4 linked regions of the Xenopus tropicalis genome follow. The protein of the gene in region 2 interacts with the protein of the main gene of each other region in a pairwise test. Links are inferred from orthologs where the notes say so. Each region holds a gene or a part of one and is shown on either strand. Other genes may lie near its edges.

Region 1 (7,991 bases), about 10 Mb from region 2:
TTTTGCTACTTGACGCTCGATTCACTAAAAGGTCAGGCGTCATAATTAAGACGCGACGCACGACCATTACTTTAGGAAAACTGCTGTTCTGAAAATGACCATTTCCCTGCAAACTGGCGGCTGCATCACTCTAGGGCCAACACAGACTTGAATAAATCCAACTGCAAAGTCCATATTGTGTTGCCAAAAGCTCATGAACCACAATTTTCTTTAAGTACCGCCTGCCCCAAGTAGGTGTTACTTTTCGCACAGACTTATGCGATATTTAGTGCGTTTAACGCTTCATATGTGTTTGTGAATCATGCGTTAGTATTATTTCTATGCGAGAATTAACCCAAGGCAAGGTAAATAATGCATTGTGATTTTTTTTTGCGCATGCAATATGCGTCTTAACACATGCAAAATGACTGATGAATCAGGACTTAATTATCGCATGCTTTTTAATGCAAAAAAGCATTGGATAAGTGTTATCACACTTTAGTGAATCAGCCCCATTGTTTGCTTTCAAACGGGTAACCAGTAAATGCTACCTACTAACAACTGGTTGCTATGGGTTACTAGACCTGCTGCAAGTTTGCAATTTGATTACAGAACCATTTTATATTTATAAACCGCACTCTCTTTAAGGTGATTATAATTAATGATATATCTCTATTATATATCATTTCAGTAAGTAGAGCTTTTGATGATAATAGACCTCATTTAAGAAGTCGCAGGCAACATGCAAAGTGCAAAATATAGGCAAAAAGGTGCATTGCAAAGACTGCACAGACCACTTGCCCGGGCATGGGCACTACTACTGCTCCCTCACTAACATTGCTAGGCGTGAGGTATCTTATAACTGATATGCCAGATCTCCACCAATGGGGTCTTGGCCATACTGACCCTAAAAAAGCAGTACTTTGCACCAGTGTCAGTGTCAGTGTTTGAATACTTATCTTCTGCTTGATTTGGTGCAGTCCTACTAGAAATCCTGGAAATCCCAGATTTAAGGGATCATTTGCAAACACAATATCAAGCATCCCAGTATGAATCCTGTAATAAATTGTAAACTCCAATAATCCCAGCCCTCCCAATATAGGGTATTCCACAATTTCCACTGTGCATTTTTAAAATGCCATTAGCATGCGATTCTTTTGGTGCAACCCTGGTGCACCTATTGATGGAACCCGCTGGGGGGACCCTGAAACTACCAACACATTTAAGGTGGCAGCAACTCCATGGTCCCTCAGCATCAAAAGTCGAACTTGCACCTGATTCATCAGGGCAGACTGGTCAGAACCAATAGCAAACCCCCTTGCAGTTATAAAAGTAACCCTATGTGTGTCCATCTATCTTATTTTTCAAATTGACAACGTTATTTGGGATATTTATATTGGGCATAGTCTAGAGCTGTCCAATTTAATACAAGTAGTGGGCCAATTATATCTCATACAGCATGTTGGGGGGTTAGATTAAATTAAAATGATGAAGTCATATAGTCTATGGACCTTATGATGTGAAGTCTATGGAGCCTTTGAACATACTGGGGGCCATAAAAATCCTTTGAAGGGCCACATCCGGCCCACGGCCTCCAGTTGGACAGCCCTGCATTAGTCCATCAGATGGACTTTATCATATTGCTCAGGCACCAAGATGAGGAGGAAAGAAAACAAAAAACCTTCAGCATTTAAAAACAAATAGGAATTGTCTCTTTGGATGACCAGAAAATTCCATAAGAGTACTAATAGAAAATGAAAAGTTCTGCACATAATAAACTATTACACTGCATGTATCTAACCTACGCAGCTCAACATGTTTCTCTCCCCAGCCATCCATGCTGTGCTGCTATTCCATGAAACTATCCCAGTTTTTCTAAATCCTCCTCCTCAATGTCTGCCCCCTGGGGATTTCAGGTTACGCCTTTCTGTCTGCAGCCGCTTTCCTTTCTGTACTCTGATTAATCCCTTCCTTCATATGAAAAGTTCCTAGCATCCCATCCACTTTCTCCTCTCCGCTCTGTAGGGACTATGGAGAGTAAACCATTCCTTCACTCCCTATGTGTGAGTGTGAATTGTGTTACTCTGCTTCCAGAACTTCATCTATTTTTGTCTCTTTTACGGCAATAAAAATAGCTCGCCTTCTAACAGAGCCTGCGCCGGCTGCTCCCTGTGCATTCGTGGCTGGGTTTGGGTTAATAAGGTATTTTGCACATTAGGGCCCCCTCGCTCTATGTGTGGGCCTCAGTACTTGGGTTCTGTTACCATGGAGATGTGGGGGTGGGTGTAGGATGCTGCAGATTATCTGTTAATTTTCTATTGTGATAGTCTGTTGGCTGCCTAAAAAAACCTATTCGTAGTTTGTGGAATTTAATGGGTGTCTCTGTATCAATGGGCACAATTTTTTTTTAATTGTTATTTTATCCAAAATCAAAATGTTACATCACCATACAGTACTTTACCATAATGGTAGATTATTTGCCACATCAATTACATTTTATTGTTATTTAATATCAATTTTTTTTTTATTTTTTATAATGAGACAGAACAATGACTTTTTTTAATAGAACTGGGCACCCTGCTGCCGCCAAAATAGCCAGTATGTGCAGCCCAAATGAAAATGCTGGTGCTTCTATGGGGACTGACAGTACCCCAAGGTGTGACTCTAGTGGGGGGCAATGGGGCAGAGCATATTGCCTGAGCAAGCTGTTCCAATGAGCCCATTAGCACACACAGAGTGACCTCTGCAGCAGTGAGTGAGTGAGTGAGTGCCACAGGATGAAGGGTTGGCCATGAGACTGACAGGCAGCAAACGGTTAATGCACAAGAGGTTTTTTTTTCCTAGAGACTGAGATAAGAGGTTGGGAGGAGAAGAGATGCTGCTGCGAGTTGCCATTGTCACACACACACAGTTCCAGCCTCCTCAGCAAGTCTGCAGCACCCCCTGCTCCGCTGTGCACCCAGTCACCATGCAGGTAAGGGGGATCCCCGGGTGCTACCCGCACACCTCTATGCCAACCAGCCTCCACCCTCAGCATCAACCTCTCTTCCTTTCTGCTTTTCTTTTATTCTGTTTGTTTTCTTGCTTTTCTTACTATATTCCATTCCCTCCCAACCCCTCTCATATCCTATCTCTGCTTATCCCTTCCCATGAAATGCTCACCTTTCCTTTTCTTTCCTGATTTTATCCTTTTGTCCTTCTGCCCTTTTTATATCTTATCTTTTTCATACTTTTGTCTGCTCTTCTACTTTTTTCCCATCTGACAGTTGGTTACACCTGTTCTTTCCCCCTATGTACCAGGATTATTTGCTTATTGCCTATTTGCATCTGTGCATCCCTTTCACTTTCTCCCTAAGACCCCTCGCTTTCCTGGCTCTCTCCTCTCATCCCATTCTCTGAGCTGAATCTATTTCATGTATCCCATTGACTCCATTAAATGAAGATGAGAGGGATGCAGATTGTCTCCAGCTGCCCAGCTGTCCCTCTCCGGCACCCCCTCCCCTGCTCCTACTCTCCTACTAATGAGCAGTGAGGTTACGGAACTGCACAGCCAATCTTTCTACGCAAACTCTCCCTCTCGGAGTCACATTCCAGTAAATGGCAGTTTAAAATGAAATTTCCTACCATGCAGCATTATGTAGAATATGTTTAACCCACTCAGTAAAAGGACATGGTTTTGAAACCTACCAATGGGCACCATATTGAGCCAGTCCTCGTTCACTGAACTGTATAGAGTAAGTTCTGATTATTTGGGAGAAACATTCAAATAAATAGGCAAATGCCGGCAGATTAGACATGCAATATTGAGTCTGAGCTCCTTTAGCAGTTCATGGGCAGTTCAGTATAAGCAATTAAAACTGTAAGGGATTTGACATCCTTAGTGGGTGGAGCAACTGCAGTTGCAGTTTTTTGCAGAAATATATACCTCCCCAGCCATGAATCACGAAGAAGCACTCCCCCCCGTAATTTGTTGGAAACTGAATACTTGCTAACTTCTCAGGATGCTCCCTCCTTACTCACACTCAGCCTCGAATTAAGTACACAACAGTTTTTTTTCCTGTTGCCATGGGTGTAACTATAGAAGGAGCATACCTGTAACTGTCGGGTTTCTTTATGAAAATGGCTTATTCCTACACTTAAGGGTACTTCACATTATTTTGGAGCCCAATGCCTTCTAGCTATGCCACTGCCTATTGCTATTATTATCAGTTAAACCAGACTAGCATAGGCATAGCCAAGGTTGCCTAACAAAGTGCTGATTGCCAGATACGGCCACCAAAGTGGCAGGCAATAGGTCAATAATCAGATCATGTTGGGCAGCCCTGTCCCATGCAGACCCATAGGGTGTAGAAAGTGTCAACACTGTGCTCCAGACTGATATCTAACCACAATGAGCTGCCAGCCAGAGAGTCTGTGGTCTTGGCACCATACAGGTTGGCAGTAAGCTGTGGATTGGTGTATCAGCCTGCAAGTGTGTAGTTAGTTTTACTACAACATATCTGCTAGGTACAGTGGGTAAAGCAGGTAAGCTCACATAGGGGTGACTGCTCTGAGCCTTATGCATCACATGGGCCTAGGGGGCAGCTGTTGTTGGTAGGAAGAGTGGGCAATAACTTTCATTATTTCAGTAAAAAGTTTCAGTCAGACTGTAAACTGTAAAAAGCCTATAAAATGGTCAGTTGTTTCCAGTGGTATAGGAACAGCACAAGGTGCTACAGAGAAAGTTGGTGTTTTTAGAGATTTCACTGGAAATGTGACTTGGGAAATAACATTATACTGACCAGTATGGGATATAGGTAAATATATGGGTTTAAGCAAAGGGGTTATCCAGGCTTTGATCACATTAGGGCGCTGTTTTATTGGGTCTGTGATACACAGAGCAGTTTGGGGCTGTTTCTTACTTGGCATCAAGGTACCCCAAATCCCCCCATTGCAAACACCAAGCACAGCTGATAAACACACTATTCTGCACGCTCTCGGGCATCTCCATTTGATTTCTATTGCCATCAGTAGGGGCCTGTGAAGGTGATCTTTGGCATTTTGAGTAGAGAAAAGTCTTTGGGCTAAACTTTTAGTTCAGTAGCTACCTGTTTGATAGGATCGAAATTACCTTAACAACCAGGCAATTGTTTGAATGAGAGACTGGAATATAAATGAGAGGGGCTGAATAAAAAGATAAATAATAAAAAAAATGGCAATAACAACAAAATATAACATATTAAAAGTTAATGTGAAATTAAAGATAAGATTCCTTAGCCGGTAAACCCCAGGTTCCAAGGTTTCAGAGATCCTAAAGATGTACTCACAATATAATACAAAGGAAGGAGATGAATAATTGACTTTAATTTGCCTTAAATGTCTTTCCTGCCATATTTTCCAGACACTTTCTGCTCATTTCTCTTTTTTTGCTATTTTTCTCCTTTTTTCACCCATAATCCTCTACTTTATTAACTTTGTTATTAAGATCGTTAAGATCTTTGTTAAGATCTTTAGTTACTTTTTTCCTGTTTGAGTCGTACCTCTTTCTGCCCTTTTTTTGAATACAGATATAGGACCCGTTATCCAGAATGCTCAGGACCAAGGGTATTCCAAATAAGGGGCCTTTCCGTAATTTGGATCTCCATACCTTAAGTCTACTAAAAAATCAATAGACCATTAATTAAACCAATAGGAGTGTTTTGCATCCAATAAGGATTAATTATATCTTAGTTGGGATCAATTACAAGGTTCTGTTTTATTATTACAGAGAAAAAGGAAATCAGTTTTAAAATTCTGAATTATTTGATTAAAATTGAGTCTATGGGAGACGGTCTTTCTGTAATTCGGAGCAGTCTGGATAATGGGTTTCTGGATAAGGGATCCCATACCTGTACTTTAAAATGAATCTATATTTACATCTCTTATAAAATGCAAAGAAAATCAGGTTTTATTAAACCAAACATTACAGCTGATTGGCCAGCCTTTGTCAGTATAATGAAACTACCCCTAAACATGCAGGATACCACCATAAACCATCAGTTCCCATAAGGTTCATGAACTGTAGGCCTCAGTACATACAAGACCCCCCAAAAAAACTAAGGTTATTACTGCTCAGTACTGTAGCTTATTACTGGCTGTGCCTGTGGGCTCCTGGGTTTTGGTACGTCAAAATAGCATAAAATAGACGAATGGCAGTTTTTTGAGCAGGTGGCTATCTCCTACTTTTATTAAATGCAGAACAGAGTAGGTGCAAAGCTGTTTGGACAATCCCTTTCTTCAAGAAGGGCTTTCTCCCAAAACATTTGCCCATTCACTACTCTGCATTTAATTAAGGGCCACTGTTCTATTGTGCTGTTTTGAGGTGCTAGAGCCCCATAGTTATATCATAAGACATTTGAGATGCCAGTTGACCCCATTTGGCAGGAGTAGCTAGTCAAACTCCAAGTGGCATCAGTTTAACATGGGACCATTAGTCCCATACCAGTGGAGATCCGGCTATGTCTCTCACTCTGTGGGTACATATGGCAGGCTGAAATACATTTGCCCTGCTACAACAAGCAAACAAGCCCGTCTCCAAGCTGAAAGGGATGGCAGTAGGTCATTAAAAATAGTGTGAACTTCAAATGCTCTAAACTCTGTGCAAGGGATTGTTGTCTTGTTATTCTGACTCATGAACATCTCAGTACCCAATACAATGCTTGCATGGCTGTGGTAATGCTTTGTCATTTTACTCAGTGCAATTTCTTTTCTAGAGTTCACTGAGGCTGCCGTGATGCCTGTATATCTTTCTAACAGAGCAGCCTCAATGTCCCTTCAGTCTCCATGTTCTTCTCCTGACGTCTGGCTTTCTCAGTTCCCCAGTTTCCTATTCATGCTCCATGTTCCACTTGGTACTTTGTGTTTCATTCTCCCTGCCCTGGTCTCAATATTCCAGGGATGTCCAAAACACATCCCTCTGGCAAAATGCTTTAAATAGCCACTAATGAATGCAAAAATGCACATTTGCAGAGAGGGAATGTTCTATGTAGGGGGAAAGCTGTGCCTTCATGCTGTCTATTTCATGGAAAATAATGGAAGTTATACCCCTTATTGAAATAATGTATTGATATAATGCCAAGCTTTATTCTTCAGATTCCAATTTCCCTATTATAAGCTCTATAAGCAAGGGATGCCCATGTGTTTCAGAGCTACTATTTACTTCATAGTGATAGGGATAATTGGTGTCAAGGATACCCCCTTCAGCCCTCTGCCATGTTACCAAGCTACAGCCAGAAAGCATTGGGCTGCAGAGAACATGCAGAGGAGACATGTTGGGTGCAAACTAACTTTCAGCAGTATAACAGTTGCTACTTCAAGGGTCCATATCAACCGGCACTAAGCTTTCCTTTAGCAACATTGCTACAAAGCATCTTCTCCACACAGTGTTACGTAGTGATATGGAGCCTGCAGCGCTTGAGCTGTCACTGAGCCAGTGCATTCTGGGAGGACTGCAGTTTGGCCATGCCTCTAAGCACTGCTGCAGTACAGCACACTTTCCTGCAGGGCCCGTGCCATTGGGTTTTCACTGGTTCATTAACGGCCCCTGCTGCGTAATGAGCCCCACACTCCTCCTTCTCCATGATTTGATTTTTGCCAGCTCGGTAATCATGATGCATAAGGAATACACTTGTCTCTTTTAATTAGCCTTGCACTATAAATAATGAATGATTGCATAAAAAAAGTAAACAAAAGCTCATTTCTATTATTCATAGGGGCAGGGGGAGCGACAGTCTGCACTGAGATGGTCTTACAGATCTATAGAACACAGTACAATGTATAGGGGAATCATTCCTTCCATCCTTACTATTGTTTGGTTCAAACCATCCAGTGATGACAAGCAACTCTATCATTAACAGCCATGGCTTTATATTTTGCTGAGCATTTGAAATATACAATAATGTGTTACAAAATAACTGAATATATAGTATATAAAGACAGGCATGATCAGAAGGAGAGATAATTTGAGTGTATCTGAAATCCATTTCATTAAGAGG
Region 2 (7,529 bases):
AAGCAAACCAACATTTATATAATCATATTATTTTCTTAAGGTTTAAGTTGATGATGTCTTGTTACAGAAAATATTGCTTCGGAGTTGGAGAATTTCTTGGGTCTGATAGAGACAGTCACCGGCTATGTCAAGATTCGGCACTCCCATGCACTGGTGTCTCTCTCTTTCCTGAAAAGTCTGCGCTATATCCTAGGAGAGGAGCAAATGCCTGGGTGAGTAGTTGACAATATGCCAGTGCTGGGAAAGAATATGTATAGGGCATTTGCATAAGGTGTTGTCCAATGTATTCTTGGTAGCAGGCTGATGTACAGTTAGGTCCATAAATATTTGGACAGAGACACCCTTTTTTGTTTTTTGATTCTGTACATTACCACAATGAATTTTAAATGAAATAACTCAGATGCAGTTGAAGTGCAGACTTTCAGCTTTAATTCAGTGGGGTGAACAAAAAGATTGCATCAAAATGTGAGGCCGCTAAAGCATTTTTTTTTTTTTTTAGCACAAACCCTTCATTTCAGGGGCTCAAAAGTAATTTGACAAATTAATATTGGTAAAAAAAAAACCCTTTGCTGGCAATGACAGCCTGAAGTTTGAATTCATGGACATCCTCCTTTTAATGTTCTGCCAGGCCTTTACTGCAGCAACTTTCAGTTGCTGTTTGTTTGTTGACCTTTCTGTCGGAAGTTTAGTCTTCAACAAGTGAAATGCATGCTTAATTGGGTTAAGATCAGGTGACTAACTTGGCCATTTAACAATTTTCCACTTCTTTGCTTTAATAAACTCCTGGGTTGCTTTGGCTGTGTGTTTTGGGTCATTGTCCATCTGTATCATGAAACACTGCCCAATCAGTTTGACTGCATTTAGTTGGATTTGAGAACACCTCAGAATTGATTCGGCTGCTTCTGTCCTGTGTCACATCATCAATAAACACTAGTGTCCCAGTGCCACTGGTAGCCATGCACCCCCAAGCCATCACACTGCTGCCACCATGTTTTACAGATGATGTGGTATGCTTTGGATAATGAGCTGTTCCATGCCTTCTCTATACTTTTTTCTTGCCATCATTCTGGTGTAGGTTGATCTTGGTTTCATCTGTCCAAAGAATGTTTTTCCAGAACTGTGCTGGCTTTTTTAGATGTTCTTTAGCAAAGTCCAATCTAGCCTTCCTATTCTTGAGGCTTATGAGAGGCTTGCACCTTGCAGTGCACCCTCTATACTTTCATGCAGTCTTCTCTTTATGGTAGACTTAGATATCGATACGCCTACCCCCTGGAGAATGTTGTTCACTTGGTTGGCTGTTGTGAAGGGGTTTCTCTTCACCATGGAAATGACTCTACAATTATCTACAATTGTTTTTTGTGGACGTCCAGGTCTTTTTGCGTTGCTGAGCTCACCAATGCTTGCTTGCTTTCTCAGGATGTACCAAACTCTAGATTTTGCTACTACTAATATTATAGCAATTTCTCGGATGGGTTTTTTCTGTTTTTGCAGCTTAAGGATGGCTTCTTTCACCTGAACAGAGAGCTCCTTTGACCGCATGTTGTCTGTTCACAGCAAAATCTTCCACATGCACATCCACAAGCACCACACCTCAAACCAACTCAAGGCCTTTTATCTGCTTAATTGATAATGACAGACTTTCCAACGCCTGCCCATAAAATAGCCTTTGAGTCAATTGTCTACTTACTTTTGAGCCCTTGAAATGAAGGGTTTGTGTTAAAAAAAAAAAAAAAAAAAAAATGCTTTAGTGGCCGCACATTTTTATGCAATTGTTTTGTTCACCCCACTGAATTAAAGCTTAAAGAAGTCTGCACTTCAACTGCAAATGAGTTGTTTCATTTAAAATTCATTGTGGTAATATACAAAACCAAAATCAGAAAAAAGTTGTCTCTGTCCAAGTATTTATGGACCTAACTGTATACAAGTCTGTGGTGCTAATCATGGTTACTGCAGTTAATAATTATCCCTTGCAAAGGTTTATCTATATCTAGGAAATCTAGCTAGAACACCTTTAATCTCCCAGTTAAAGTATGTATAACAGCACCAGCATGCCAATGTAGTCCATGCCTTACAGAGCTATTTCACCTGCCTGATATATCAGTTATTAGTTTGGTAGGCTGCCGGGCAGCTCCCATTGCTAATAAGCTGGCAAGTTTGTCTGGAAGAGTCGTCAGCCCACATGTGGCCAACTTTACTCCCATCTTTTGTCTATATATTCTATATAAGAAGAAATTTCTGATTATGTTTCCTCAGGGCTACTTATTCTATCCATAAGGGGCAATTAGTCGCCGCCACTCTTTAAAAACAAATCGCCACTCAGTCAGTCGCAGTTCTATATTCTATATTAGCCTAAGAATTTGCACTTAAACCCCACACTGCAGTAAAACCCCTACGTGTTTGGTATTTCTACTTGTTGTTGAGTTTACAGCTTCTTCTGTGTGTAATATTATGTATTGCTCCTCCTGCAGCTCCCCAACAGACTTCTCTGCTCATAAAGGTTCTTATTACTTTCCATTCCCATTCCCAGTAGGGTTTTTCCATTACATGTAAACTTAGCTACTCTTACACCTTCCTCCCTCACTTCTCACAATGCAGAACTGATCCAGATCAACTTTAGGCCCCCCTCACTTTCCTGTGCAAATCCCCCTGCTTTTAGAGTCATCTTCCCCCCCCCCCGGATGTGTTCCGTGACTCCTCCCGGCGCCTGTTCCCCTAAAGCGCTCCTTACTCTATGTTTCCTTATGACACAAATTAGAGGTGTTTCCCTAGTTATCCCTGCCACCTCTTGCCCAATTATCTCCCCCTGGTCAGAGAAGGGCCTTCTAGCAGAAAAGGGGTTATTGGTTATTTTTCTGAGCGATGGAATGCCAGTGTTTGGATACATTCCATTTCTCTCCTGGTTTATCATTTCACTCCAACACACAAGACAAACCTGTTCTCTGTCATGAAGTCTTGGGTGAGGGACGAGGGGGCTCCTGTTCTGGGGAAGTAGATTTAGAGGTCCTGGGAAAGCACTGTATCGGTTGGTTTATGTGACCTGCTTGGATTAAGTTTCCTACACAAGGAATTCCTGGCATCTCTGCTGCTTTTTACTTCATTTCTCAAGCTACTCATAGGAATGTGTCAAGGATTTTTTAAATTCTGCATCTTACATCAGCTGACATTAAAATCCTAACACATAGTCTATTTTTTCTTCTAATGTTCTGTCAGTTTTGCCAAATTTAATATTTTAAACGTTTAAAAAGTGGAATAAATAATTCCCTGTTTAGATAATCTGATACCGCCCTTTGTCATGTAAAATCCATCACTTTATTTACATCTAAAATTCTGTATGTAGAAAATCCAAGCTTTGGGCTTATTTCAATAAAAATGATGTCATGCTATTGAGCTTGGAGAGCTCTTTACCTCAGATCAAAAAAAAATATCAATTTGTGTAGGATCATTTTGCGCCAGATGCTGCAAATATGCGTACAATGCAGGCCTCTTGCTACGCCAGGGCCACAGCTGAGCTCCATGTTCTGGCTTTGCTTCACCTTTCTAAATTTACAGAAGTCTTTGCAGCATTAGTTCTTATATATAGTAAGTTTTCCATCCAGCTTCCTGCCAGCTAATAGTTGAGGGCTGCGGACCCCCATGTTTCTTATAATCCAGGATTTTATAAATATGTTATTTTCTATGTTAAATTTTTAACAGCAGTTTGATTCTTCCCTGACGCTGTAGAGTGAGAAGATATTCATACATCATACATCACATAAGTGGATGATGGTTCTGGCTTCTCCTAAATATCTTTTTTCTGGCATACTAACCATAATTAAGTTTTTTTAATGTCTTTATTTAGTTTGTTACTTTAGACAGTGGATCACATATAGTAATGCCAAGGCAGGTAGGGTTTCATAAGTTAGTGGCTAACCAAGACCATAGAAGGAAAATCTGGCCATTGATCTGTGAAGGCTGAACTGTTTGGCCAAATGGGAAAAGGCCATTCTCTGGTTACCAATGATCACAAGTCTAATATCTCAAATTGTATTTTCAGAGTCTATTCCTGAACTGGCTTTGGGAAACACTAGAACATGGGCCAGGCAGGTCTTCACTGTTGTTAACAGTTTGGTAACGGCAATAGCAGCTGGCAGTGGCACACTGTTACAACCCACAGGGCAAATCATTAAGGCTTGCTGTGTTGTACATGGTATGCGTTCTCTGCAGTCTGTGGCTATTCAGCTGCTGGTGCAGTTGAGCATACTTTCCTTTTATATGTACAAAACTGCACAAACTCATTTGCCTTTCTTCACAGTCAGCCACATTTAAATACTCATTTGAACTTCTATGTTCTGTCTATGCTATTTTTTATCTATCTATTTTCTGTCTATACTTCTGTCTGTGTCACCTGCTGCCCTGTGCAAGTTGACTGCTTGTAGCTGGTACAGCACTGACTGGTGCTACTTATTGTATTTTATGTTATTGGTTTATATAAAATCAAGCTGCTTCTCAGTCATTTTTAATCTATAGCTCCTTGTCTGCTACTGTCCCCAGTATTTCTGGTGTAATATATAGAAGCTAGTTGTGCTACAACTTCTTTTTACAGGGCAAAGTTAACTCTTGAAAGAAAATTGTTTCTTTAGTGGGGTTAAAAATCTAAAACAGAAATGTGTCCTGCACCATTTTTTTGAGATTGTATTTGTTAAGAATACCCTATATGTTAGCAGACAAGTGGCAATAATATAGATAAATAAATTTTAGCTCATGGCATAAAACTAATGTGTGCTTGTTAATTTGTGGCCTCCTGTTTTTAATTTTCAGAAATTATTCCTTTTACGTCTTTGACAATAACAACCTACAGCAGTTGTGGGACTGGTCGAAGCACAACCTCACTATCAAAGAGGGCAAAATACGTTTTGCATTCAACTCCAAGCTTTGCGCTTCTGAGATTTACCGCATGGAGGAAGTAACTGGAACGAAAGGGAGGCAGACTGCAGAGGACATCAGCCTTAGTACTAATGGAAATATGGCTTCATGTAAGTATCTTGTGCCTCAGAACCACCTTGTAGTCTGACCCTATGGTTTTAGCATTCCTCAACCAGGCAGTGCTTGTCTCTGTAGAAGCTCTTCAAAAAAGGGTGGGTCTCCTATTTTAAAGGCCAAGTTGTTTTAAGGGTGAGCACTTACTTGCTTTTAATGAAACCAATATGTTTTTCCTTCTGGGACTGCCCTTAATATGGCCTACCATATCCTATAGTAGTTTATCATCAACCCACATTTATGTCCAACACATAAATGTGGCCTTTAGCCAGGCCCTATTATTATAATGCTGCACTAAATTAACTAATGTTTTTCCTAGCTGTAATAAAACAGGAGAATGTGGACTGAGCCTGTATCTACCTTTTCTAAGGTTCGGGTTGAATCATAACATAGTGTAAAAATGTACCCATGTACTTGAAGCCTAAACATGGGCACTTTATTTTGTTTTGTAAGTGAGCCTGTCAAGCTCTAGAACAATGCAGTCCTGATAGAGGCCAGATAAAGCTCTTGAAGGGATTTAATTAGGTGCTCTAAAAGTTTATATATTATTTTGCTTACACTAAGGGCAGTGACACATGAGGAGATTAGTGGCCCCATGATTAATCTTTACTGGCTCTAATCTCCTCTGAATGCTTTCTTACCGGCGATAATGTAAATTGCTGGTAGGAAAACATATGTTGCTTCAGCTTTCCAATGTCGCCCAACTTGCAAGGTAAGTTTGGAAAGCCGAACTGACACATGTTTTCCGATTTAGTAGGAAAGCATTCAGAGATTAGTCGCTACCGCGACTCGTGTCATTGCCCTAAAATCTACTTCTTGGGGGTTTTTTTTGTTTTTTTTTGTACTAAAAAAAATGCTTTATAGGAATTAACATAATGAAGTTTTTTCCCACCAATGTACGATGTGTCTCATTTACAGGCGAGAGTCACGTCTTAAATTTCACCTCCATAATCACAAGTAAGAACCGGATTAAGTTTACATGGGAGCGCTACAGGCCACCGGATTACAGAGACCTTATCAGCTTCACTGTCTACTACAAAGAGGCGTGAGTCCCACATTACAACCATATTCCTGTGGCGCTTGCACTTACCCAAGGATGAACTGTCAGTTAAAGGTTGATCTATAATGGTTTCCTCTAATAAAGGTGTAAAAAGCTAAGCATAGATTAAATTATAGTTAGTGCTGCTTCTTGGATATATATCAGCAATGCAGCATTCTTTACCATCTATCTGTTCTAGGTGTTCTGTCCTTTTATATAAAGGGCAGAGCAAAATGAGGTTTAAGTGATAATGCTCTGCAATATATTAGGCTAGGAATGTTGCTTCTTATGTTTTGTGCCAGCCTACAAAGCCATCACATCCCTTTAACACTGAATATATTTGTGGCTTGGAGAATGCTTTACATCTTTCTGCTGATTCACATGTTCTGGTTGTAATGTTAATCACCAGATCTAGGGCCCAGCTTATACACTATAAATATATATAAAGTGTGATTAGAATATTAGTCCATATTCACATTGCATAGTATCCTTAGACACAAGCGACTTCTGTATCAGAACAGGTTAATGATAAGACAGTAAATGTTTTGTCTAGGGGTACTAATGCTGCAGAATGGTTAGATGTCTAGTATTATCTAAATGGTGAAAAGATCTAGCAAGTAATTATTTTATTTATATATAACACATTTCCACAATTCTTTTCAAAAATTGTCTGTCACTCTAATCAGCCCCTTCCCCAGTGGAGTTAACAGTTAAATGTCCCTATGACATTCACATACAATATGGGCATTTTAATAAGTAGCCAGTTAACTGCAGTTTTCTTTGTTTCTCAGCTAAGCTTATATCTCTTGTAAGCCAAACAAAAACAACACAGCTTCCAAATTTCCAATTTTGCTGCATTTAGCTTTTAGGCTTTCCTCTGATTATGTCTCTGCTTCCTTTTTCTTACACTTCAGACTCTTCCATAATGTAACAGAGTATGATGGTCAGGATGCATGTGGATCCAACAGCTGGAATATGGTTGATGTGGACCTCCCAGCCAGCAAGGAAAGTGACCCTGGAATCCTCCTGCAGGGACTGAAGCCTTGGACACAATATGCAATCTATGTGAAGGCTATTACCTTGACCATGCTGGAGAGCCGTCATATTCATGGTGCCAAAAGCAAGATCATATATATACGAACAGATGCAGCAGGTATGTGTTCAGCCAAAGCAAATACATACCTATAATATTTATATGATGTTAAAGTGCTGGAATAAGAAGATAATGTTTTAGTTTAAAGGTTTTTTTTGCTTTCTGTCATTCTTGCAAATGCCTGGTTACCAAAACCAGTGACCCTACCAACAAGGCATTTGGTTGAATGCCAGAATAAAGCTTACCACCTAAATTGAAAGATAGCAGTAAGGTAAATCTTGTTTAGGAGGAATGCATGATTACACAAGTGCAGTATGTTACAGCTGATGGTAAAATTTAAAAGACTGAAAATACAGGGGAACACAGACTTTGTCAGCTCCC
Region 3 (7,529 bases), on a different chromosome or scaffold from region 2:
CTCCGAATTACAGAAAGCCTGTCTCCCATAGACTCCATTTTAATCAAATAATTCAGATTTTTAAAACTGATTTCCTTTTTCTCTGTAGAAATAAAACAGTACCTTGTACTTGATCCCAACTAAGATATAAATAATCCTTATTGGATGCAAAACAATCCTAATGGGTTTAATGAATGTTTATTGATTTTTTAGTAGACTTAAGGTATGGAGGTCCAAATTACGGAAAGACCCCTTATCCGGAATACCCTTGGTCCCGAGCATTCTGGATAATGGGTCCTATACCTGTATACGTGAAGGGAATGGATAGTCAATAGTTTAAAGGAACAGTAACACCAAAAAATTAAAGTGTATAAAAGTAACTAAAATATAATGTGCTGCTGCCCTGCACTGTGCGATTACTTCAGAAAATCTACTATAATTTATATAAATAAGCTGCTGTGTAGTATGGGGGCAGCCATTCCTGCACTGGTACAGCTGGGGTGTTTGCTACAGAAACCCTACTATAGTTTATATAAATACCCCGCTGTGTAGCCATGGAGGCAGCCATTCAAAGGAGAAAAGGCACAGGCACATAGCAGATAACAGATAAAACACTATTGTATTCTACAGAACTTGTCAGTTATCTGCTATGTAACCTGTACCTTTTCTCCTTTTTTCCAGCTTGAATGGCTGCCCCCATGGCTACACAGCAGCTTATTATATAAATTATAGTAGCTTTACTGTAGCAAACACACCAGTTTTACCAGTGCAGGGCAACAGTGCATTATATTTTTATTACTTTAAAGCGCTTTCATTTTTTGGTGTTACTGTTCCTTTAAGACTGAAGCTTTAAAACATTTGAAAAACTGCTGTAATTCAGCTGTAATGTTAGCTTAAACTTTAAACAGGACTATGGGATTCTAGGGAAATTATTAGGAGTATAGATAAAATTGTCTATCAGTTTATTATCAGTTCAGTTGTGTTTTAAGTGCCCCTTCCCCTTCCTGGATGTATAAAATATATTAGCATATTAAAAACAGAGGAGTCGGAGTCGTAGAGTCGGAAGTATCAGAAACTGAGGAGTCGGAGAATTTATCTACCGACTCCACAGCCCTGCATAAATCCCATTTAACCTAAAAAGAATTGATTTACTTAATTGTAATTATATCTGGCCAAAGAGAGATACGAATACAGGTGTGTTTCTGTGTGAGAAGAAGCAGCAGAAGCAGGCTGTAAATAAATGCAGGGAGGGTGCACTTGGGTTAATGTCTGACTTGCCTTTTTATTTAATAGCATCCAAATTTAAATTCATACATATGGTGCTAATTTCAGTCAAAACCAGCAAAAGCAATTAAAGCCTGACATTACCCTAAGAAAAGTTGCTGCAATAAACACAGAAAGTAGTATGCATCTATAAAAGCATGGTAGCAGTTCTATCAACAGAAGGCCAATATAACACATATTACAAACAGATTCAAGTATGGGACCTGTTATCCAGAATGCTTGGGACCTGGGGTTTTCTGGATAAGGGGTCTTAACATTATTTGGAGTTCCATGTCTTAAGTCTACTAAACAATGATTTAAAGTTAAACATGAAATAAACTCCTTAGAATTGTTTTGCCTCCAATAAGAATAAATTATATCTTAGTCGGGGTCAAGTACAATTTACTATTTTATTTATTACAAAGAAAAGGAAATTATTTTTAAAAATTCCAATTATTTTATTAAAATGGAGTCCTATGGAAAAAGGACCTTCCTGCAATTCAGAGTTTTTGGGATAATGGGTTTCAGGATAATGGATCCCATACCTGTATCTCTTTCTATATTTTTTTATATAAACAACTAACATTGCCAGGAATTACATGAATTTTTGGTAGCGTTATTGCTTGTGCTTTAACGCAGGTAACAAAACATGTACCAATGCTTTAAGTGGACAACTAAAAAAAGGGGTCATTTACATGCTGGCCAGGTCAGCAGCTAAGAGCTGCTCAGCCAAAAGCTCATCAGCACAGCATAATTGCTCTATATTTTTTTTACATTAGTTTTCACCATTTCCCAAAGCATAGCAGCAGTAAAAGGGTTAATTTGCATTTAAACACACACTTTGTGCCAGCAGTTGAATGCCTAATTAGCATTAAAATGAGTTTCCTTTTCCTTTCAGCACACAGCAGAGGCAGGCATGTTAATGAGTGCACACATGCGCAGTGACATTGCATGGTGGGAAGTGCACAGCAATAACCGGTGGTGGGGGTAAGAAAGCCCAGACTAGAGGAAGGCATAAGAAGCACCTGCCTAGGGCCCCCCACTCCCCCCGTTATTGCACCCTAGGCTAGGCAGGTGCCTTTTCTGCCTACCCCTAGTTCTGGCCCTGGCACACAGTTAATGTACAGTTACGTCTATGAAGATTCTCATTCATCCAGGTCATGATATACAGTATCTAGTAGAATTAAGTCTAAAACAACTGGACTTTTCTGAGTCCAGTTGTTTTAGACTTATTTCTACTAGATAATGTACAGTTACACTTTTATCAGGCTATAGGTTCATTTAGAGCAGTGATCCCCAACTAGTGGCTCGGGGGCAACATGTTGCTCCCCAACCCCTTGGATGTTGCTCTCAGTGCCCCCAAACCAGGTAGTTATTTTTGAATTCCTGACTTGGTGGCAAGTTTTGGTTGAATAAAACAAGATTTACACCAAATAAAGCGCCTGTAAACTGATAGTGTGCATAGAGGCTGCCTAATAGCCAATCTTAGCCCTTATTTGGCTCCTCCATGAACTTTTATGGTGCTTGTGTTGCTCTCCAAGTCTTTTTACATTTGACTGTGGCTCACGAGTAAGAAAGGTTGGGGCACCCCTGATTTAAAGCTTCAAAGTTTTAGATTTAATATACAAATATGATTACATATACACTTCAATTAATTACAACAGGGCATACAAATATAAAAGTTGCAAGCAGTTATAAAATAAAAAGGAATAAACACATTAAGAAACTCTATAATTGCATTACTGGCTAGGAAATCCCTTTATGTCCGCTGAGGCAAGGTGAAAGCTGGGCACGCAATGTAACATTTGGAGCCCCCAATCTGTATGCTAAATACAGTGTAATTTGGTCTGCTTTTTATTTTCATCCTGAGACATTTCCTTTATTAGCTTTGCAAGAGGTAGGGGTGTACAGAAATGTTTAATTTTACAACCTGCAACTAGTATTGTTTCCAGGCCAGTTTCTCTAAACAGATGTTGCAACTCATTTATCTACAGGTTTATACCTATTATTTAACTAAAGGTTCTTTACAGGGTTTACTTTTGCATTAATTGAAGCCCAGGGGTTGTTTACCTGTGCTTAGTGTGGAAGGATGAAGTGGACTTTGGCTACCAAGAACATTCAGTCGTGAGCTGCGTTTCTGTAAAACAAAAACAAAGAAACATGAAAAAGATAAAAGGACAGCAATAAGATCTGCAAAGTTTCCATCAGGTCGAGCAAACAATCAGTAGACTGTATTTAATCACAAGACTGCATATTTTATTGGATTCCATTGGTGACTAGACTAGGTACAAACTCTGCATGTTTTTTTTATTACGTTAACCTATAATTAAGTCACTTAAGAGCAACACCAGGATGACAAGGACGCCGAGGAATAGTAGAACTCCAAGGATTACCCAATCAGATAATGCTCAATCTGTACTTCCATAACAACTAACACAGCTGACTTTCCCTGGCATCATTTATTAAATATCCTCTTCAGGGAATCTGCTTCTAAATACCTCATTCATTACCTTATGCCCCACAGAGAGATTAGTCCCCCACGGTAGCAGAGATTTATCAAGGGCGACTAATCTCCCTGATTTGCCTTTCTACTAGCAACAAAGTGAATCGCCAGTCAATCGGCGCTTCTTTTCCCAAAGTTGTGTGAATTTGCCTGCAGAAGGAAACTCTGAGCAGCTTCGGAAAATCAAAGCAACGCATATGCCTTTCCACTAGCGATTCAATTTGTTGCAGGTGGAATGGCATTTTGGGAGATTAGTCACCCGCAGCAGTAGGGATTTATAGAGGGTGACTAATCTTTCAGTGGGGCATTAGCCTAACTCTAAATGATCTCTATAGGAAAGCTTATCCACACCTAACTAAGTATTCCTAGTATTATACACTATATGCCACTATCACCTGCTAAGTGCAATGCTTAATATCATATCATTCACATTGTACCAATTCCAAAAGCATGCCAGCAGTAAGAAAAAGGTTATTTTGCAATTAAACACACATTTGTTTTTGTACCAGCAGTGGAATATTAATTAGCATTACATTTTCAGCACACAGAGTGTTAAGGTACAGTTACACACACACTTTCATATAAGCTATGGATCATTTAGAGTAGAGCTTCCTGCCACATCCAAATTGTAAGTTCACATCTCCATTTGCCTTGTTCCATCTTTCCATCCTGTCAGCACTGCAGATTATTATATATAATGTTGGAGTAAATAATTCTAATAGATGACCTGCAGGGGAGTATGGGCAGACAGAGACTAAAGGCAAAGTATTAGGGCACTATGATCATAGTGGTTAAGTAGTATTTCCTTAAGCCCCTTGCACTGTTTCTTTTCAATCAATATTTGCTTAATAGCATTGAAGTGTGCTATAGGGAACTGGCTTCCCGTTAAGCAGAACTGAAAGAGGATGCTAAATGAGAATGGCATAATAATAATAAACACATGCAATTTAAAGCAGAAAAATGCAAGTTACACATTTTAGGGTTACAAACTTATTCAGTCAAGTTTGATGAACTATTTAAGTAATTAAAAAAAAATGTTCAGTGTAGGGAAACTTTTTAAGGACATGCATGAAATGCTTAAGCTGTGGTCTAACCAACAAATTACAAAAACAGAATTATGCTTAAATGCCCCTTTAAGCATGCTAAGTTACTGCTAGATGTGCTCAATTACTAATTACTGCCTTTCAAGCTAATATGTGGCAGAGTGCCTTAACTAGGGACGAGCAAACTTTTATTCGCATTATCATTGGGAAAAGACAACATTTATTTTTTTACTTGTCACCTAGAAACATTACTCATGTGTTAGTGAGTACAGTGATAATTACCCTCCAAGCATGGCCTTCCTCCATAGCAGCACTTTGTGCTTCTACTGGATTTTCAATAACTCTTCCAGTCTGCCCAGAGAAATCCATTGCAACTAAGGAATTTTCTGATACACTCCTCTAAAATGATAAAAAATGACAAAATAAAAAATCACAATATCTTAGAAACATATGTGTATGAAGCAAGACAGGAAACCTTTAGAATTTTAGGACCATCTTCTAAATGGAATTTCTGAAATAACTGGACCTAAATGAGGTCAAGCAGGCAAAATGGACACCAATCTAAACATTGGATGTTGCAATATCTCCGACACCTGCCTGTTGCTTTTACAGTGTGGATCTCAAAATACAGTCCTTACACATTCAAGGTTTCTATTGTTGTCATACGTAAATGCTAAATGTCCTATAATCAATTGTGAGGGCTAACCATATTGCACCAATTATAATATGCATTGTGCTCTTTGCTGCGAACATCAAAAAGTAATAATGCAGTTTGTTTTTGATAGACTAACTTTTTCACTCACATATCAGCCTTACAAATTGGTCAGGCTTTTAATTACAATAAATCACATGATGCCCTTAAAGGTCCTCAATCACATAAGTAAAGCAGTATCAACTAGAACAGTAATGTAACCATTGTTTTCCTGCATATCCATCAAAACATTTTGTTCTAAAAGTGCCCACATACGGGTTGAAAAAATCTGCAGACTTGGTGCTTCCAGTTGGCAGCTTATTGACCCATGTATGGGGCCCACTGCTGAGCCTGCCCGACTGATATCTGGCCAAATATTTTTCCAAATTTATTTGATTTTCCTGTCCAACAAGGACCACATTGGCATGCTGATGTGGCCCTTATCTGATGGCCTGTACGTTCCTCTGTATGATTCGATCCTTGGCCCGGAATATGGATTGCAAACTCAGGCCCAGATCTGGCAGTGTATAGCCAGCTTAATTCTATATCTTTTAGAAATGGCTTGTGCTGAACAACTGCAAAGCCAAGGTGCACTTCTTCACAATCTTCACTTACAGGAGCTGACAGTGGTATAAGATGAAAGTTTATGAGATTTTCAAGTGATGGATATAGAACTCTCTGATATCAGAAGAATATATTTATAAGGTTACAATTTCAAGGCATTCAGATGACAAATTACATATGTATGCATGTAATATAATAAACTTAATAAATATGTTCACTACTTAAATTAACTGGGAGGTGGTGTGGAATTTGATTAGTAAAATAAGAGCAAATTAAAAATAAAAAGGTCTGTTATTACCAGTCATATACTTAAGGAAAAATTTGACAAAATTCTAATTTAGATAGACTATAGGATAATAAAGACACATACCACTGGGGTAGAAAAGTTTGTGTGCAAGCTTTTTTTCTGCTGTGGAATTCTGTAGTTTTGATAAAGCAACATCCCATACTGCAAAAGAATAAACAATTCAAAAATGAAATTTTAGAAAGATTTAAAATAAAGATACAGTGAATTTAGAAATAAAAGAAGGCTTCTTGCATAGCTGTACATGGTCACTTTACAGTACAATACTAAGGAATGAAGTAAAGCAGGATAATATGATAGTTGCTTACTGCACAAGTAATTAATGCATTTAGAGTAAACATTATTAGAACGTTGCCAAACAAATGTCAAACGTGCAAAGAAGATTCCAAGTTTCTAACAGCAGGCCTCAGCAATCAAACCTAAATGTACCTTGAGAAGCCTGAATGCTGTCATCCAACAAGTCCTGCTTTGTTCATCTTCTGCACATAAAAAACGCAGCTCTTTAACCTCATTTCTCACTTTGTTGGGCTGCAAAAGAGTTTTTATAAACATTAAAAGAAAATGTATTTTTTTCTCTAGATGAGAGCGCTGTCAAGTACATAAAGTTCGCCTTTAGATTACTTATTTGCTACCTCGAGGTAATTCCACAATGGGCTGTACCATCCAGGATGTGAAGCTGGTGAAAAGAAAACCTAAGGTGCACTGTGCCTACAGATTACCAACACAGGAGTGCCATGGTAAGAAGCTAGTGTTCAGTAAAGAATTATTGTACATTGATTTTTTATGCCACACTTGTCTTCTTTTTGCTCTTTTCTTCGGGCTGGGCAAAGAAAATTTGAATATTTCTAGCTGAAGGTCACAGCTATAATCTCACAGAATTATATACTTTTTTTAAAATTTATTTAAAACACACTTTTTTTGTTCTTACACTTTTGTCCTTTTTTCATTTGGATTCTGAGGGTGTATATAACCCGTAAAGGCTCACTAGGGGTGTAACATATAGCTATTAGGCTCTATCTCACGCAGCCATAGCCCTAGGTGGAAGCTTCAGGCAGCCTCATGGGGGAAAGGGTCCCTCCATAGCAGCTACACAAAAGGAGCCATTAGGTTCTATCCTACCCTATCTGGGATAAAGCCAGAAAAAAAAAATGCGGGAAAGTGGTTCTAAAGATCCTTGCCACA
Region 4 (8,097 bases), on a different chromosome or scaffold from region 2:
AAAGCCTTACGAGTCTTTTTCGGCGATTTCGGGAAATCGCGCCGCCGCGTGTGCCAACCCTTACAGAGAAAAGGGAATCATTTAACCATTAATTAAACCCAATAGGGCAGGTCTACCCCAATAAGGGGTAATTATATCTTAGTTGGGATCAAGTACAGGTACTGTTTTATTATTACAGAGAAAAGGGAATCATTTAACCATTAAATAAACCCAATAGGGCTGTTCTGCCCCAATAAGGGGTAATTATATCTTAGTTGGGATCAAGTACAGGTACTGTTTTATTATTACAGAGAAAAGGGAAATCATTTATAAAAATTAGAATTATTTGCTTATAATGGAGTCTATGGGAGATGGCCTTTCCGTAATTGGGAACTTACTGATAATGGGTTTCCAGATAAAGGATCCTATACCTGTACTTTATTTTATTATTACACAAAAAAAGGAAATCATTTTTAAAAATGTAAATTATTTGGTTAACACAGAGTCTATGGGAGATGGCATTCCTGTACTTCAGAGCTTTCTGGATAATGGGTTTCCAGATACTGGATGCCCCCTGCATCCACTTCTTTGGATCCCCACTAGTGGTCCAGTCCCACATTTAAGAACTTGCAGGACTAAAGGGCATGTGAAAATGTGTTTATCCAACTAATCTGCCCGCAGGCCAAACCGGCAAATATTGTGAGTTTGCAGTAACTGCCATAAAAGTGATTGGGAAGTGGGGCGTCCTGATGGGTCTTCCATTGCTCCCCGAATCAGGTAAAGATTAGCTTGTTTGGAAATCTTGCCAAATTAAAATTATGTTTAATAAACTATTTGAAAAAGAAAAGGTCAAGTATTTTAACAAATGCTGTATTTTAGTTCAAAAGGTTCTAAATGAAGGGTATATGAAAATCAACTTTAAAGGGCCATGGCTATACTGAATGCATATTAGTTATGGTGTGTTCATGAGAAAAAGGCCCCTACACTGACAACTTTGTAGAAAATCAGATAAGCAGAGGCATTCTTGTGTCACACACATGCAGCACACTGCCACCCACTGGCCTGCCTCGGAACTGGAGGCTCGGATCAAAGGTAATTAGCAATATTGGCTGTGAAAGGATTTTCTACAATGTCATGTATGCAATTAACAGCCGAGCTTCTTGGTGCAAGGAGGCTATAGACAACCCGGCACAAAGGATCCGTACAAACAAGCTAAGCACATTTTCTAATGAGAAGGGTATGCAGAGCAAATATGCAACCACAGTGCTAATCCTGAGTAAAAGAAAAAAGCAATTAAAACGTTAGAAGAATTTAAAAAAAAAAATGTTTTGTTGGCATAAACTCTGCTGGTACATAGAATGCAATGCAGCACTCCAGAACCAAACTGCTTAATCATGGCAAGGCACACTGGGCAGAACGTTTATATTCTCACTCTAAACGTGCCATTATTAATTATTCATATAGCCAAGCATGCCTTTGTTTGATAGACTTTTGAGATAGACTTCTGATTTTTTAAGAGCTGTACACATGAAATATGGATGGGAGTCATAGCAGGATTAAAGGCAGCTTGTCAGGGATCAATACTGACCATCAGCTGAATAAGGAGCCAAGAAATGTATTGATTAAGCGCGGCTTAGGGGCTACATGGGAGATCAGGAAATGTGTGTATAGATTGGCAGACCTTTTCCTATATGGCTGTATATCATCTCACTATATGGGCATATACTCATATCTCTAGATGGATAAATTGGAACAGGTATAGGATCCCTTTAACCCAAAACCCGTTATCCAAAAACCTACGAATTACAGGAAGAGCATCTCCCATAGAGCACATTATAAGTAAATAATTCAAATGTATTTTACCGAGATCCCTTTCTTCTGTATTAAATAGTACTGTGTACTTGATGGGAACTAAGCTAAAATTCTACTGGGTTTATTTAATGGTTAAACTATTTTTTAGCAGGCCTCAAGGTATGGTGACCCAAATAATGGAAAGATCCATTATCTGCAAAGCCAGATAAGTGCCAACTTTATTTAGGAAATACCAACTACCTTCTAGTGGCTGAATGATAAGCCCAAGGGCCCACAGCAACCCTTTGTTATACAGGTATGGGACCTGTTATCCAGAATGCTTAGGACCTGGGGTTTTCCGGATAAGGGATCATTCTGTAATTTGGATCTCCACAATTTAAGTTAAATCATTTAAATATTGGATAAACCCAATGGGTTTGTTTTGCCTCCAGAAAGAATTAATTATATCTTAGTTGGGATCAAGTACAGGTGCTGTTTTATTATTACAGAGAAAAGGGAATCATTTAACCATGAAATAAACCCAATAGTGCTGTTCTGCCCCAATAAGGGGTAATTATATCTTAGTTGGGATCAAGTACAGGTACTGTTTTATTATTACAGAGAAAAGGGAATCATTTAACCATTAAATAAACCCAATAGGGCTGTTCTGCCCCCAATAAGGGGTAATTATATCTTAGTTGGGATCAAGTACAGGTACTGTTTTATTATTACAGAGAAAAGGGAATCATTTAACCATGAAATAAACCCAATAGGGCTGTTCTGCCCCCAATAAGGGGTAATTATATCTTAGTTGGGATCAAGTACAGGTACTGTTTTATTATTACAGAGAAAAGGGAATCATTTAACCATTAAATAAACCCAATAGGGCTGTTCTGCCCCCAATAAGGGGTAATTATATCTTAGTTGGGATCAAGTACAGGTACTGTTTTATTATTACAGAGAAAAGGGAATCATTTAACCATTAAATAAACCCAATAGGGCTGTTCTGCCCCAATAAGGGGTAATTATATCTTAGTTGGGATCAAGTACAGGTACTGTTTTATTATTACATTATTTGCTTATAATGAAGTCTATGGGAGATGGCATTTATGTAATTCGGAACTTTCTGGATAATGGGTTTCCGGATAAGGGATCCCATACCTGTACAAGGATGTTGCTAGTTGCAGTGCTATCTTGTAGATTGTAAGCTCTTTTGGGCAGGGCTCTCTTCACCTCTTGTATCAGTTATTGATTGCTTTATATGTTACTCTGTATGTCCAATGTATGTAACCCACTTATTGTACAGCGCTGCGGAATATGTTGGCGCTTTATAAATAAATGTTAATGTAATGTACAACTATAGATGACATTCTTGGTTTGCATGACAATTTAGCTACCGGATTCAGTAATTGGGATCTAGTGTATGTGAACTGTAGCCCTCAGGCTGCCTAGAAAGTGTAGATAATGATAAATAGGCCTGCATATAGATCAGGGCTTGGAAAGGCTACAAATAAACACCCCATAGAGTTGCTGATCCTGTATAATTGTAGATATCCCCAAATGGAGCATTTGTTTCCCTGATTTGCCACTTCCTGCTGCTGCAGAAATAAAGAGATCACTTCCTGATTGATATTATGAAACACATTGTATATGTATATGAAACCTATTGTATATAAGGTGTGTGCTGGCTGTATACACTCTTCTGCAGCGAATTACAGGGGACTATCTTGGTGCTTTTTCAGTATTGCGGTATTGCTTTGTGACACTATACAAGCATCTGGCCACTAGGTGTCGCTGTTTCAATGACGTCTATAGGTTAAATGAGATATTGCCTACAAAAAGCTTTGGGGCACCGGCAACGAATGACATTAAGGGGTAAAAAAAAAATAATCAATAATGTGCGGTTATAGGTTTTCCATAACAAAGAAAAAAAGTCTATTAATTATATACGTATTTTCCATTTAACAGGGAAAGCATGTAACGGGAAATGCTGGGAGCTGTGTAAGGGCAGGGCTGGGGATAATACGGCTGACAGGGTCGGAAAGAGGCCTACGGATCGGGCGAGGTTACCCTGCGCATCGGAGGGTGTGGGGTACTAAGGGGGCCCCAATGGGGAAAGCGAGCGGATGTTGAGCCCCAGGCGCTGGGGAAAGGGATCCAGGCCGCGCACAGATCCCCGCCCTTGTAAGGAGCGACCCCATAGGCGGCTATAGAATGGCCGCCATCTCCCACACGAATGCACTACGCTCTCTGCCATCGCACGTACCTCAAAAATCCGCGACCTGCCAATAGATTCAGTAATTCGACCCGGGCTAGCTCAGCTTCCCTCACCGTTCTCCTCCTCTCCTGCAGATTCACTGGCCGTTCCACTTCCGTTCCAGCCGCCACTTCCGCTTCCTTCAAGCCCCGCCTCCAAGCCCCTCCCCTCCACCTTTCTCCTTCAGTTCTAAACTCCTGACAGTACAACAAGCACTGGCGGCTTCACTGGAGGGAGGGGAGAAGCGGGGTGACCTCATCGTTTCCTCGGCAACGGGGAGATGACGTCAACCGTCTTAGCAGGAGGGGTGGGAGGAAGCGCGTCTGGGCGGGAAGGGGAGGCAAGTGTCAGCTTGTAGGGGGTTTGAGGCGACACTTTGCGGGGCTTTTGGGCAGAAATCAGGGGGATTAAGCTGCCCTGACACAGTTATGAGTATTATTGAGTTTCTCAATCGTGGGGTATACAGAATGTGTTATTGTGCATTCTGTGGGGAATGAAGGCGTCTAACCTGCTGCAGTCTCCATTTTGTCGTCCGCTTATCTTTCCCCACCCCCTTTGAAAAAAAAAAAAAATCTAGCTTATTCAATTTCAATAAAATGGTGTTGTGAAAATAATCAATGAACTGCTTCGATAAAGCAATAGTTTGGGCGATTGTAACGTGTGCTTCGGGACCTTTGCTGTCAGGCTGACCGAGTGGCCTACACCATTGTCCCTTTGCCTCTAGGGCCCCTGTACAGCCTCATACCGGCCTAGTGATATTGTATTTGTTTCAGAAGCTGCTGGCTGCCTGTGGCCCTTCAAGCTGCAATTATTCTACAGGGGACCCTTGGCACACTGACCTGCAGTTAAAAAAAATATACCACATGTTTAAAGGAAAAGAAACACCAAAAATGAAATTGTTTTAAAGTAATAAAAATATTACATATACAGAAACCCTACTATAGTTTATATAAATACCCTGCTGTGTAGCCCCGGGGGCAGCCATTCCTGCACTGGTACAGCTGGGGTGTTTGCTACAGAAACCCTACTATAGTTTATATAAATACCCTGCTGTGTAGCCCCGGGGGCAGCCATTCCTGCACTGGTACAGCTGGGGTGTTTGCTACAGAAACCCTACTATAGTTTATATAAATACCCCGCTGTGTAGCCCCGGGGGCAGCCATTCCTGCACTGGTACAGCTGGGGTGTTTGCTACAGAAACCCTACTATAGTTTATATAAATACCCCGCTGTGTAGCCCCGGGGGCAGCCGTTCCTGCACTGGTACAGCTGGGGTGTTTGCTACAGAAACCCTACTATAGTTTATATAAATACCCCGCTGTGTAGCCCCGGGGCAGCCATTCCTGCACTGGTACAGCTGGGGTGTTTGCTACAGAAACCCTACTATAGTTTATATAAATACCCCGCTGTGTAGCCCCGGGGGCAGCCGTTCCTGCACTGGTACAGCTGGGGTGTTTGCTACAGAAACCCTACTATAGTTTATATAAATACCCTGCTGTGTAGCCCCGGGGCAGCCATTCCTGCACTGGTACAGCTGGGGTGTTTGCTACAGAAACCCTACTTTGCTACAGAAACCCTACTATAGTTTATATAAATACCCCACTGTGTAGCCCCGGGGGCAGCCATTCCTGCACTGGTACAGCTGGGGTGTTTGCTACAGAAACCCTACTATAGTTTATATAAAATACCCCGCTGTGTAGCCCCGGGGGCAGCCATTCCTGCACTGGTACAGCTGGGGTGTTTGCTACAGAAACCCTACTATAGTTTATATAAATACCCTGCTGTGTAGCCCCGGGGCAGCCATTCCTGCACTGGTACAGCTGGGGTGTTTGCTACAGAAACCCTACTATAGTTTATATAAATACCCCGCTGTGTAGCCCCGGGGGCAGCCATTCCTGCACTGGTACAGCTGGGGTGTTTGCTACAGAAACCCCTACTATAGTTTATATAAATACCCCGCTGTGTAGCCCCGGGGGCAGCCGTTCCTGCACTGGTACAGCTGGGGTGTTTGCTACAGAAACCCTACTATAGTTTATATAAATACCCTGCTGTGTAGCCCCGGGGCAGCCATTCCTGCACTGGTACAGCTGGGGTGTTTGCTACAGAAACCCTACTTTGCTACAGAAACCCTACTATAGTTTATATAAATACCCCACTGTGTAGCCCCGGGGGCAGCCATTCCTGCACTGGTACAGCTGGGGTGTTTGCTACAGAAACCCTACTATAGTTTATATAAATACCCCGCTGTGTAGCCCCGGGGGCAGCCATTCCTGCACTGGTACAGCTGGGGTGTTTGCTACAGAAACCCTACTATAGTTTATATAAATACCCTGCTGTGTAGCCCCGGGGCAGCCATTCCTGCACTGGTACAGCTGGGGTGTTTGCTACAGAAACCCTACTATAGTTTATATAAATACCCCGCTGTGTAGCCCCGGGGGCAGCCATTCCTGCACTGGTACAGCTGGGGTGTTTGCTACAGAAACCCTACTATAGTTTATATAAATACCCCGCTGTGTAGCCCCGGGGGCAGCCATTCCTGCACTGGTACAGCTGGGGTGTTTGCTACAGAAACCCTACTATAGTTTATATAAATACCCCGCTGTGTAGCCCCGGGGGCAGCCATTCCTGCACTGGTACAGCTGGGGTGTTTGCTACAGAAACCCTACTATAGTTTATATAAATACCCTGCTGTGTGTCCCCAGGGGCAGCCCCCAAGCTAACAGTCAAATCTTGCTAAACTGCCTGTCTAAATAAGGATATGTGTGGCCAGCTTTACACAGAGACATAAAAAGATGTCAAATGCCTTTAATTGCTCTCAGATAAAATAGGCTGTTTCTTGACAAATAGTTTATTTCTACATGCCATACAAACAGATAACGCATTTTTAATGTAATAATGAGTGCATATATTTTTATTTCTTGAGCTAACCAGGAACTGAAGCTATTCCATGTTTCTAACTTCCTGGTTCTTACAAGGTACTTAATCAGGTTACCAGTGCACCAATAATAAAAGGACTGGGAAGGTAGTAAGTTTGAAGGCAAAACAATGCTCTGTTAGTTTACAAACTAAATGTGGCCATACACCTGAAGACCTCCTCATTTGACAGGGTTTTTTGAGGATTTTTGCTTGATCCAGCCACCTACATGGCGCCAGTGCAGACCATCGGAAGAGGACTGCATCAGTGTGCCCATGCTGTCATTGCTCTGACAGGATTTTTAAATCTGTCCAATGGATATTTGCCTGATTTTCATTCAGATATCAGGGATGAAGTCTGGGAGGGTCCATAAATAGGCAGACAATCTGCCAACTCAATTTGAAGGGGTAGAATTGGCATCTTAAATATGCCCGTGTATGGCCAGCTTAAGCAAATACAGTGGCTTGCAAAAGTATTCGGCCCCCTTGAACTTTTCCACATTTTGTCACATTACAGCCACAAACATGAATCAATTTTATTGGAATTCCACGTGAAAGACCAATACAAAGTGGTGTACACGTGAGAAGTGGAAGGAAAATCAAACATGATTCCAAACATTTTTTACAAATAAATAACTGCAAAGTGGGGTGTGCGTAATTATTCAGCCCCCTGAGTCAATACTTTGTAGAACCACCTTTTGCTGCAATTACAGCTGCCAGTCTTTTAGGGTATGTCTCTACCAGCTTTGCACATCTAGAGACTGAAATCCTTGCCCATTCTTCTTTGCAAAACAGCTCCAGCTCAGTCAGATTAGATGGACAGCGTTTGGGAACAGCAGTTTTCAGATCCTGCCACAGATTCTCCATTGGATTTAGATCTGGACTTTGACTGGGCCATTCTAACACATGGATATGTTTTGTTTTAAACCATTCCATTGTTGCCCTGGCTTTATGTTTCGGGTCGTTGTCCTGCTGGAAGGGGAACCTCCGCCCCAGTCTCAAGTCTTTTGCAGACTCCAAGAGGTTTTCTTCCAAGATTGCCCTGTATTTGGCTCCATCCATCTTCCCATCAACTCTGAGCAGCTTCCCTGTCCCTGCTGAAGAGAAGCCCCCCCAGAGCATGATGCTGCCACCACCATATTTGACAGTGGGGATGGT

The links.
Region 1: the proteins of igf1r (region 2) and kcnip3 interact in binary tests that used the Homo sapiens proteins (3 or more experiments, as listed by UniProt). The two-hybrid records come from large-scale screens. The link is inferred for Xenopus tropicalis from reciprocal best matches to the Homo sapiens genes IGF1R and KCNIP3.
Region 3: the proteins of igf1r (region 2) and grb10 interact in a two-hybrid assay, tested with the Homo sapiens proteins (4 studies listed by BioGRID and IntAct). The link is inferred for Xenopus tropicalis from reciprocal best matches to the Homo sapiens genes IGF1R and GRB10.
Region 4: the proteins of igf1r (region 2) and ywhab interact in a two-hybrid assay, tested with the Homo sapiens proteins (2 studies listed by IntAct). The link is inferred for Xenopus tropicalis from reciprocal best matches to the Homo sapiens genes IGF1R and YWHAB.

What each region holds. Positions count from the first base shown.
Region 1 is NC_030679.2:124,875,173-124,883,163, forward strand, and holds the start of kcnip3 (calsenilin), read left to right. Parts: upstream 1-2,802; 5' UTR 2,803-2,854; coding exon 2,855-2,953; intron 2,954-7,991. UniProt on the Homo sapiens protein: Calcium-dependent transcriptional repressor that binds to the DRE element of genes including PDYN and FOS. Affinity for DNA is reduced upon binding to calcium and enhanced by binding to magnesium. Seems to be involved in nociception.
Region 2 is NC_030679.2:114,867,285-114,874,813, reverse strand, and holds part of igf1r (insulin-like growth factor 1 receptor), read left to right. Parts: intron 1-67; coding exon 68-212; intron 213-4,797; coding exon 4,798-5,012; intron 5,013-5,934; coding exon 5,935-6,061; intron 6,062-6,969; coding exon 6,970-7,208; intron 7,209-7,529. UniProt on the Homo sapiens protein: Receptor tyrosine kinase which mediates actions of insulin-like growth factor 1 (IGF1). Binds IGF1 with high affinity and IGF2 and insulin (INS) with a lower affinity. The activated IGF1R is involved in cell growth and survival control.
Region 3 is NC_030682.2:60,064,233-60,071,761, forward strand, and holds part of grb10 (growth factor receptor-bound protein 10), read right to left. Parts: intron 6,876-7,529; coding exon 6,777-6,875; intron 6,492-6,776; coding exon 6,414-6,491; intron 5,188-6,413; coding exon 5,071-5,187; intron 3,380-5,070; coding exon 3,313-3,379; intron 1-3,312.
Region 4 is NC_030686.2:12,508,983-12,517,079, reverse strand, and holds the start of ywhab (14-3-3 protein beta/alpha), read right to left. Parts: upstream 4,125-8,097; 5' UTR 4,037-4,124; intron 1-4,036. UniProt on the Homo sapiens protein: Adapter protein implicated in the regulation of a large spectrum of both general and specialized signaling pathways. Binds to a large number of partners, usually by recognition of a phosphoserine or phosphothreonine motif.